Linked DNA regions of Pelodiscus sinensis. The protein of the gene in region 1 interacts with the protein of each later gene in a pairwise test. Links are inferred from orthologs where the notes say so. Each region holds a gene or a part of one and is shown in the gene's direction. Other genes may lie near its edges.

The links.
Region 2: the proteins of sal-like protein 2 (region 1) and ZMIZ2 interact in binary tests that used the Homo sapiens proteins (3 or more experiments, as listed by UniProt). The two-hybrid records come from large-scale screens. The link is inferred for Pelodiscus sinensis from reciprocal best matches to the Homo sapiens genes SALL2 and ZMIZ2.

What each region holds. Positions count from the first base shown.
Region 1 is NC_134740.1:748,531-752,425, forward strand, and holds the start of sal-like protein 2, read left to right. Parts: upstream 1-1,351; 5' UTR 1,352-1,379; coding exon 1,380-1,485; intron 1,486-1,923; coding exon 1,924-3,895. UniProt on the Homo sapiens protein: Probable transcription factor that plays a role in eye development before, during, and after optic fissure closure.
Region 2 is NC_134738.1:4,833,859-4,837,753, reverse strand, and holds the start of ZMIZ2 (zinc finger MIZ domain-containing protein 2), read left to right. Parts: upstream 1-1,188; 5' UTR 1,189-1,417; intron 1,418-3,895. UniProt on the Homo sapiens protein: Increases ligand-dependent transcriptional activity of AR and other nuclear hormone receptors.

The sequences.
Region 1 (3,895 bases):
GCCTCAGGGACCCTGTGGACTTTGAGCCTCAAGGAGCTCGTGGCTGCTGGGGTGCAGGGACCCCCAGCTGGATTTGAGGTTCACAGGGGTCCCGGCTGGGCTTGGGAACTCCTCAGGAATTGGGGTGCAGAGACCCTGGATGGAAAGCATTGGGAACCCCCGGGAATGGGGGTGCAGGGACCCCAGATGGGCAGTGCTGGGACCCCCTGGGAATCGGGGTGCAGGGACCCTGGATGGGCAGTGCTGGGACTCGTCCTGGGAATGGGGGTGCAAAGACCCTAGATAGTTATGGGAACCGCCTGGGAATGAGGGTGCAAGGACCCTGGATGGGTTTGGGAACCGCCTGGGAATGGGGGGTGCAAGGACCCCGGATGGGTTTGGGAACCCCTCGGAATGGGGGTGCAAAGACCCTGGATGGGTCTGGGAACCCCCTGGGAATGGGGGTGCAAGGACCCCGGATGGGTCTGGGAACCCCCGGGAATCGGGGTGCAAGGACCCCGGATGGGTTTGGGAACCGCCTGGGAATGGGGGGGTGCAAGGACCCCGGATGGGTTTGGGAACCCCTCGGAATGGGGGTGCAAAGACCCTGGATGGGTCTGGGAACCCCCTGGGAATGGGGGTGCAAGGACCCCGGATGGGTCTGGGAACCCCCGGGAATGGGGGTGCAAGGACCCCGGATGGGTCTGGGAACCCCCTGGGAATGGGGGTGCAAGGACCCCGGATGGGTCTGGGAACCCCCTCGGAATGGGGGTGCAAGGACCCCGGATGGGTCTGGGAACCCCCTGGGAATGGGGGTGCAAGGACCCCGGATGGGTTTGGGAACCCCTCGGAATGGGGGTGCAAAGACCCCGGATGGGTCTGGGAACCCCCTGGGAATGGGGGTGCAAGGACCCCGGATGGGTCTGGGTACCCCGTGGGAATGGGGGTGCAAGGACCCCGGATGGGTCTGGGAACCCCCTGGGAATGGGGGTGCAAGGACCCCGGATGGGTCTGGGAACCCCCTCGGAATGGGGGTGCAAGGACCCCGGATGGGTCTGGGTACCCCGTGGGAATGGGGGTGCAAGGACCCCGGATGGGTCTGGGAACCCCCTGGGAATGGGGGTGCAAGGACCCCGGATGGGTCTGGGAACCCCTCAGGTATCAGGCTGAGGGCCCCGGGCTGGCTCCGCAGGGAGCGGACGCTCCGCGCTGGCCCCGGCTCCGGCTTTGGCATCCGGACACCAGAGGTCCCTGCAGCCCCGGACCCGCTCCGGCTCCTCCCGCATCCGCTCGCCCCTCCTGCTTCCTACCCCCCCCCCCCCCCCCCCCCTCCGCCGCTCCTCCCGCATCCTCCCCCTGCTCCGGCCGCAGCGCGCAGGCCCCGCGCCCGGGATCGGGCCATGGCGGAGCCCGCAGGTGCGGTACCGCTGCGCGCTCGCCGGGCCGGGCCGGGCCTCCTCCGGCCGCTGCCGGGGACTGGGCGGGGACCTCGTCCGGCCTCTGTCCGTGCGTCCTACTGTCTGTCCGTCCGTCCGGGCGTCCTTCTGTCCGTCCGTCCCCTGCACCCTTATGTCTGTGCGCCCGTCTGTCTGTCCTCTGTGCGCTCTTCTGTCTGCCTGTCTGTCCGTCCCCTGTCAGTCTGCGCATCCGCTCGCTGCACCCCCCCGTCTGTCTGTCTGTCTGTGCACCCTGGGGAAAGGAGAACCCTGCCCCACCCCCCTTCTGCTGGGCCCCGAGCCCCCGCTGGACTCTCACGCGCCCGTGGGGGGGGAGGGCGCTGTGCTGCGCGAATATTCCTGGGAGCAATGGAAGGGTGAGGGCTGGGGGGAGGCAGCCCCAGGTCTCAGGGGGCAGGTTCCCCTGCCTGTAGCTTTGGGGGTGCTGCAGAAGCTGGGGGTGCCAGGGACTCCCCCAAGGTCTGACTCTCTCTCCCTCCTTCCCCAGGGGACACGGGGGACGAGGCCGCCCCGTCCTGCCCCACGGAGCTGGCCACCCACCGGGACGCCTGTCCCCCCAGCCAGCCGCCTCCTGCCTCCTCCTCCTCCTCAGCCAACGGACAAGACAGCACTGGCCCGTCCTCCTCCTCCTCCTCTTCCTCCTCAGAGCCCCGGCCTGACAGCCCCCCGGGCATGGAGACTGAGACGACTCCTCCAGCCAGCAACCCCGCCGCCCCGGAGCCGCCCCCTCCCCCGCCACCCCCGCCCGCCACCCCCACGGGGCACCTCAACATCCCCCTGATCCTGGAGGAGCTGCGGGTGCTGCAGCAGCGCCAGCTGCACCAGATGCAGATGACCGAGGAGATCTGCCGCCAGGTGCTGCTGCTGGGTTCCCTGGGGCAGCCGGAGCCGGCTCCGGGGGCCTCCCACCTGCCCAAGGCCCCCTTGCCCGTCTTCTCCATCAAGTCCGAGCCGGTGAGGACCCAGGCGTCCAGCTCCCCGGAGGTGCCCAAGCCCACCTTCTTCCACCTCTACCACCCCTTCCCTGGCAGCGCCCGGGGCCCCAGAGCAGAGCCCATCCTGGCCCCAGCGCTCCCCGCCACGGGGCTGCTGGCTGCCCAGTGTCTGGGGGCTGCACGGGGCCTGGAGCAAGCCACCTCGCCCGGGCTGCTGCGGCCGAAGAACGGGGCCGAGGCGGGGCCAGAGGAGAAGCCGGGGGGCCGACACAAATGCCGCTTCTGCGCCAAGGTCTTCGGGAGTGACAGCGCCTTGCAGATCCACCTGCGCTCCCACACGGGCGAGCGGCCCTACAAATGCAACGTCTGCGGCAACCGCTTCACCACCCGGGGCAACCTCAAGGTGCACTTCCACCGGCACCGGGAGAAGTACCCGCACGTGCAGATGAACCCCCACCCCGTCCCCGAGCACCTCGACTACGTGCTGACCGGCGCCGGGCTGCCCTACGGCATGTCGGTGCCCCCCGAGAAGGCCGAGCCGGGCGAGGAGGCGCCACCCGCCGAGCGCAAGGGGCTGAGCGCCACCGAGAGCCTGACGCTGCTCTCGGGCACCGCGGGCGCCTCCCAGGCCCTGCCCGTCTTCAACAAGCTGGTGCTGCTGAAAGCGGCGGAGGGGCGGGCCAAGGGGGATGAGAACACCCCGCCGGGGAGGGAAGCAGACACAGCCCGGGTGCCCCTGGGCAAGCTGCCCAGCTGGGCCCTGCTGGCTAACCACTTCAAAGCCGGCAGCACCGGCTTCCCCTTCCCCTACGTGCTGGAGCCGGTGGGAGCCTCGCCCTCGGAGACCTCCAAGCTGCAGCAGCTGGTGGAGAAGATCGACCGGCAGGGGACGTCGCCCGGCCCATCCGCCCCCTCGCCACCCTCCTCGTCCTCGTCCTCGGGGCCCAACCAGTGCGTGATCTGCCTGCGGGTGCTCAGCTGCCCCCGGGCGCTGCGCCTGCACTACGGGCAGCACGGCGGGGAGCGCCCCTTCAAGTGCAAGGTGTGTGGCCGGGCCTTCTCCACCCGGGGCAACCTGCGGGCCCACTTTGTGGGCCACAAGGCCAGCCCGGCCGCTCGCGCCCAGAACTCCTGCCCCATCTGCCAGAAGAAGTTCACCAACGCCGTCAGCCTGCAGCAGCACGTCCGCATGCACCTGGGAGGCCAGATCCCCAACGGCGCCCTGCTGCCCGAGCCCCCCACCACCCCAGGGGAGCCGCCCCACCGCCCCGAGGGCCCCGCCCCGCAGCGGGATGAGGAGGAGCTGTCGGAGGAGGAGGAGGAGGAAGAGGAAGGCAGTGATGAAGACTCACTGGACAGCGGCACGGAGAAGGCCCTGGGGGGCTCAGAAGGGGCGTCCAGCCCCGGGGAGGAAACGCCGACTCACGCCAAGGAAGAGGAGGATGCTGGGAAGCCAGAGGGGGGAGCAGCGGCCGATCCCAAAGGAGGGAGCTCCCCAGACGCTGCGGAGGGAGAAGGGGACCC
Region 2 (3,895 bases), on another chromosome or scaffold:
GCGCACACTGAGACCACGCTGCAATAGTAGCGCACGGCGGGAGCTGGGCTCGGCCAACGTGGGGTGTTTCGGGGTCAGGTGGGGGGTGCCGGGTTCCTAACACTCCTCCAGAGCTGATGTATAAAAGCTTTTCCCCTGGGGACCATGTCCAGCTGGGGGAGGGGGGGGGGGGCTTGGCAGATTGGTGGGGCAGTGTCCAGTGCGGGGCTGCTGGCCGGGGTGTTTTGCCTGCATGGCGCAAGGGGCCCTGGTGGGGAACGGAGTCGGGGAAGGCACGTCCGGGCTGGCGGGGATATTCTCTTGGCTGCCACCAGGACCCGAGCCTGGGCACCCTGGAGCCAAAAGGGCCAAGGCCAGGCCCTCCACGCTGGTTGGGTTCATACGCCCCTCCGGAGCTTTCTAGCGGGTGGCCAGGGAGCAGGTGTGAAACATCAGGTGGGGGGAATAGCCTCGGATGTGTGTGTCCCCCCCCACGTCTCTCTAGGACACTGCGCCCCCAGCGGTGGGAGGCAGATGTGCCCCCCCCCCCGGCGTCTCCGGGACACTGCGCCCCCTCCCCGGCAGGTCGCGGTGCCGGGATGGTGGGGGACAGAGCGGCCTGCCCCCCTGGTGTCTCCGGGACACTGCGCCCCCTCCCCGGCAGGTCGCGGTGCCGGGATGGTGGGGGACAGAGCGGCCTGCCCCCCTGGTGTCTCCGGGACACTGCGCCCCCTCCCCGGCAGGTCGCGGTGCCGGGATGGTGGGGGACAGAGCGGCCTGCCCCCCTGGTGTCTCCGGGACACTGCGCCCCCTCCCCGGCAGGTCGCGGTGCCGGGTGGGCGGCGGGGAGCCGGGCGCACAAGCGGGCCAGGCGGGATGATCCTGCGCCCACGTGCTGAGCCCCACGGCAGCGCCCTCCCCACAGGGGCGCCCCTGCCCAGCGGGCACGGCCAGTGGGGGGCGGGGTCCCCCCTTTCCCTGCGCCTGGAAGCCCCGCGCCGCGCGCCCAGCCTGGCCAGGGAGCGGAGCCCTTTGTCTGCCTTTCCCACCCCGGGCGTGCGTGCGCGGGCGCGGGCGGGGGCGGTGGTGGGGGGGGGGGGGGAGGCTGCAGCTCCCCCCCCCCCGCCTCCGGATAGGAGCTCCATTGCTCTGGCCTGGCGGGGGGGGGCGGGCCATGAATATTGATGAGGCCGCCGGGGCGCTATTGTGCAATTGGCGCGGGGCGGGCGGCAGGATGGAGGTGGGGAGCTGCGCGCAGCGGCTCACTCGCCCCGCGGTGGCTCAGGCGGCGGCGGCAGGGCGCGGAGGGGCCGCGGAGCCCGGGCTTTGTTAGCTGCACCCCCGCCATGGAGCCGCGCCCGCAGCCCCAGTGACCCCCCGGCTGCGCCGCGCCCCGAGCCAGGCGAGGACGGGAAGGGCCGGTCGGTCCCCTTGGAAGGTAGGTGCGCGCGGGGGGGCAGGGCGCTCCGCGGCGGGGGGGCCCTCGGGCGGGGGGGGCGCCCCCCGGGGCCGGCGCGTCGGGCGGGGGGGTCTGGCTCGCGCCGCCGCTTTGTGCCCGGGGGCGCTGCCGGGGTTGGGGCTTTGTGCGCCGGGGCGCGACGCTGCTGCCCGCGCCGGACTTCGGGTGCGGGTTGCCCGGGAAAGGGGGTTTCCATGGCAACAGCGCGGATGCCCTGGGCGGGGCGGGTCGGTGCGGGGCGGGGGGAGCGGGGTCGCCCCGTTTCCCCCCCCCCCCCCCGGGCGCGGCGGGGCGCGGGGGCTGGCGCTGCCCCGGGTGCCGGGAATTCACGCGCGGGGCTGCGTGGGGGCGGGCTGGGGGGTTTCCAGCCCGGGCTGCTGCCGGGGGGGCTTTCCCGTGCGGGCCCGGCCGGCTGCGAGTGCGGGGGGGTCTGGAGCGGCGCTCGGGCTGTTCCAGCCGGTTTCAGGCCCTGGACAGTGTCTCCGCGGGGGCAGGGCGAGCCTGGCCTCTGGGCCCGGGCCTTTCTGCCTGGCTGGCGGGGGGGGGGCCGGAGCCCTCCTAGGACTGGCCGCTGCAGATCCAGCCCTGTGAGCCGGGCGGGGGGCGGGGGCTGTGCCACGCTGTGACCCCCCCCCCCCCCGCTGCTGGCTTGGCTGGCCGGGGGGGCCCGCTGGGGTGTCTTACCTTGACTGGCGGCTGCGAGCGCGCAGGCCGGGAGCCGCCGGGCCCCCCCGTGTTCGCGGACAGGCGATCCACGTGCACCGCAGCTCCCTGCCCGGTGGTGTCGTGCTGCCACTGCCTAAAACTGGCCACGACTCGGAAGTGCTGTGGGCAGCAGCCCCCGGTTGTCAGCCGCTCGCTGGGGAGGCTTTGGTGGCTGCAGCCGGCGCTGGGCTGGCTTCGGTGCAGTGTGTTTTCCAGCAGGGAGCCAGGCCAGGAGGTGGGTGGGGGGCTCCGGGGTGGGGCCAGCTGGTTCTGAGCATCTGGGGAGCTGGAAGGGCTGAAGTTTGGTATCCGGCCTCCCCTGGTGTGCCCAGAGCAGGGCCATTCCTTGTCGCCCACTGGGACCCCCTGGCCAGGCCCCCTGTCCCTCTGCCCGGTTTGTTAGGACCAGCCCTAAATCCCTCCCTCCCTCGTCCTCCTGCGGACTTGCCCTCTGCACGTGGCCTGTCTGGAGTCTCCCGCCTCACTGCCCATTCCTGTCACTTTGACGCCAGCCCGGGGCGCGGCAGCGTGACCTTGTGGAAGGCTGGTTGGTTTGCACTGGGATGGGGAGGGGCTGCTGTGACTCGGCTCCCCAGTTTCCGAAGGCCTGGCCGTGCTGGCCCACGGAGACGTGGGGCAGGGCGAGTTCGTGCCCTGCTGCTGTGAATGGGCTCCCGTTCCGGGGACTCTGGACGCTGCCCCGGGACTAGCTGCTTTGGACACGCTGGTGCTGGAAGCCAGAGGTGCTGTGGGGGCGGGGCTCAGCACCTCCCAGTGCCGGGGAGAACATCCCCTCCCTGTTTCGAGGGACTCCTGTGGCTTCCCTCTTGTCCCGGGGGGGCTTTCCATCCCCAGCCTGGACTCGGCAGCGCCGGCCACTCGTGTCGGCTTCAGGGCCCCCAGAAATGCCCTGGATGCCTGGTGGCTGCAGGAAGGCGGATGTGGCCCCTGGGGTGCACTCGTGAGGGGCAAAGCCAGGAGGCTGGGGAGCTCCGGGGAGGAGAGCTCACGCCAGGCCCCCCAGCCTTGTGCTTTCTTCGGAGGCCCCGACCCCCGGGGGGCGGGCGATGCAAACCCCCCTCGGATGAAACTCTGCCCGCCGTCCCACTGTTGCCAGGGCAGCAGCTGGCTCTGTCTCCGCCCTCCCCCGCTGGGTGCGGTGCCCGCTGTCCTGGCAGGTTCTCCGCTGGCGTGTCGGCTCAGGGCGCCTTGGAAATAGTTCACTGGGTAACTGGGTTAAGCAGAGGCTCCTCCACCCACCCACCCACTTACATAACGCTGGGCGGGCCGGGCGAGTGGCCTGGAAGGTCAGGTTGTGTTGCCTCCATGGCGACCCGGTTGGCAGGGGGGAAGCAGCGTGTGGGTTCAGCCAAGGGCCAGTGGGGGGGCAGAGGACTGTGTGACGCACCCACCCAGCTGTGGCTGAGCCCACCTGTTGTGAATCTCACTCGGGGCCCTGGCGAGCCAGGGAACCTGCAGCCACCTCCGAGGAGACGGGCGGTCCCGGGGCTCGGAGGGCAGGCGGGCAGCGGCACCTGGCCCCGGGGGGGCAAGCGCAGGACAGGCCCAGACCTTCGCTGAGCCGCACCTGAGAGCAGCCTGGGCCAGGCCCCGAGCTGCTTAGCAGCTGGATTCCCGGGCAGTCCGGCTCCCACGGTCCATCAGCCTGGGGCTTGTTTCGCTGCCCTTTGCCAGAGACCCCCAGCGCAGGGGGCCGGCTGGGCAGCCAGCGAGCGGCAGAGCTCCCAAGGC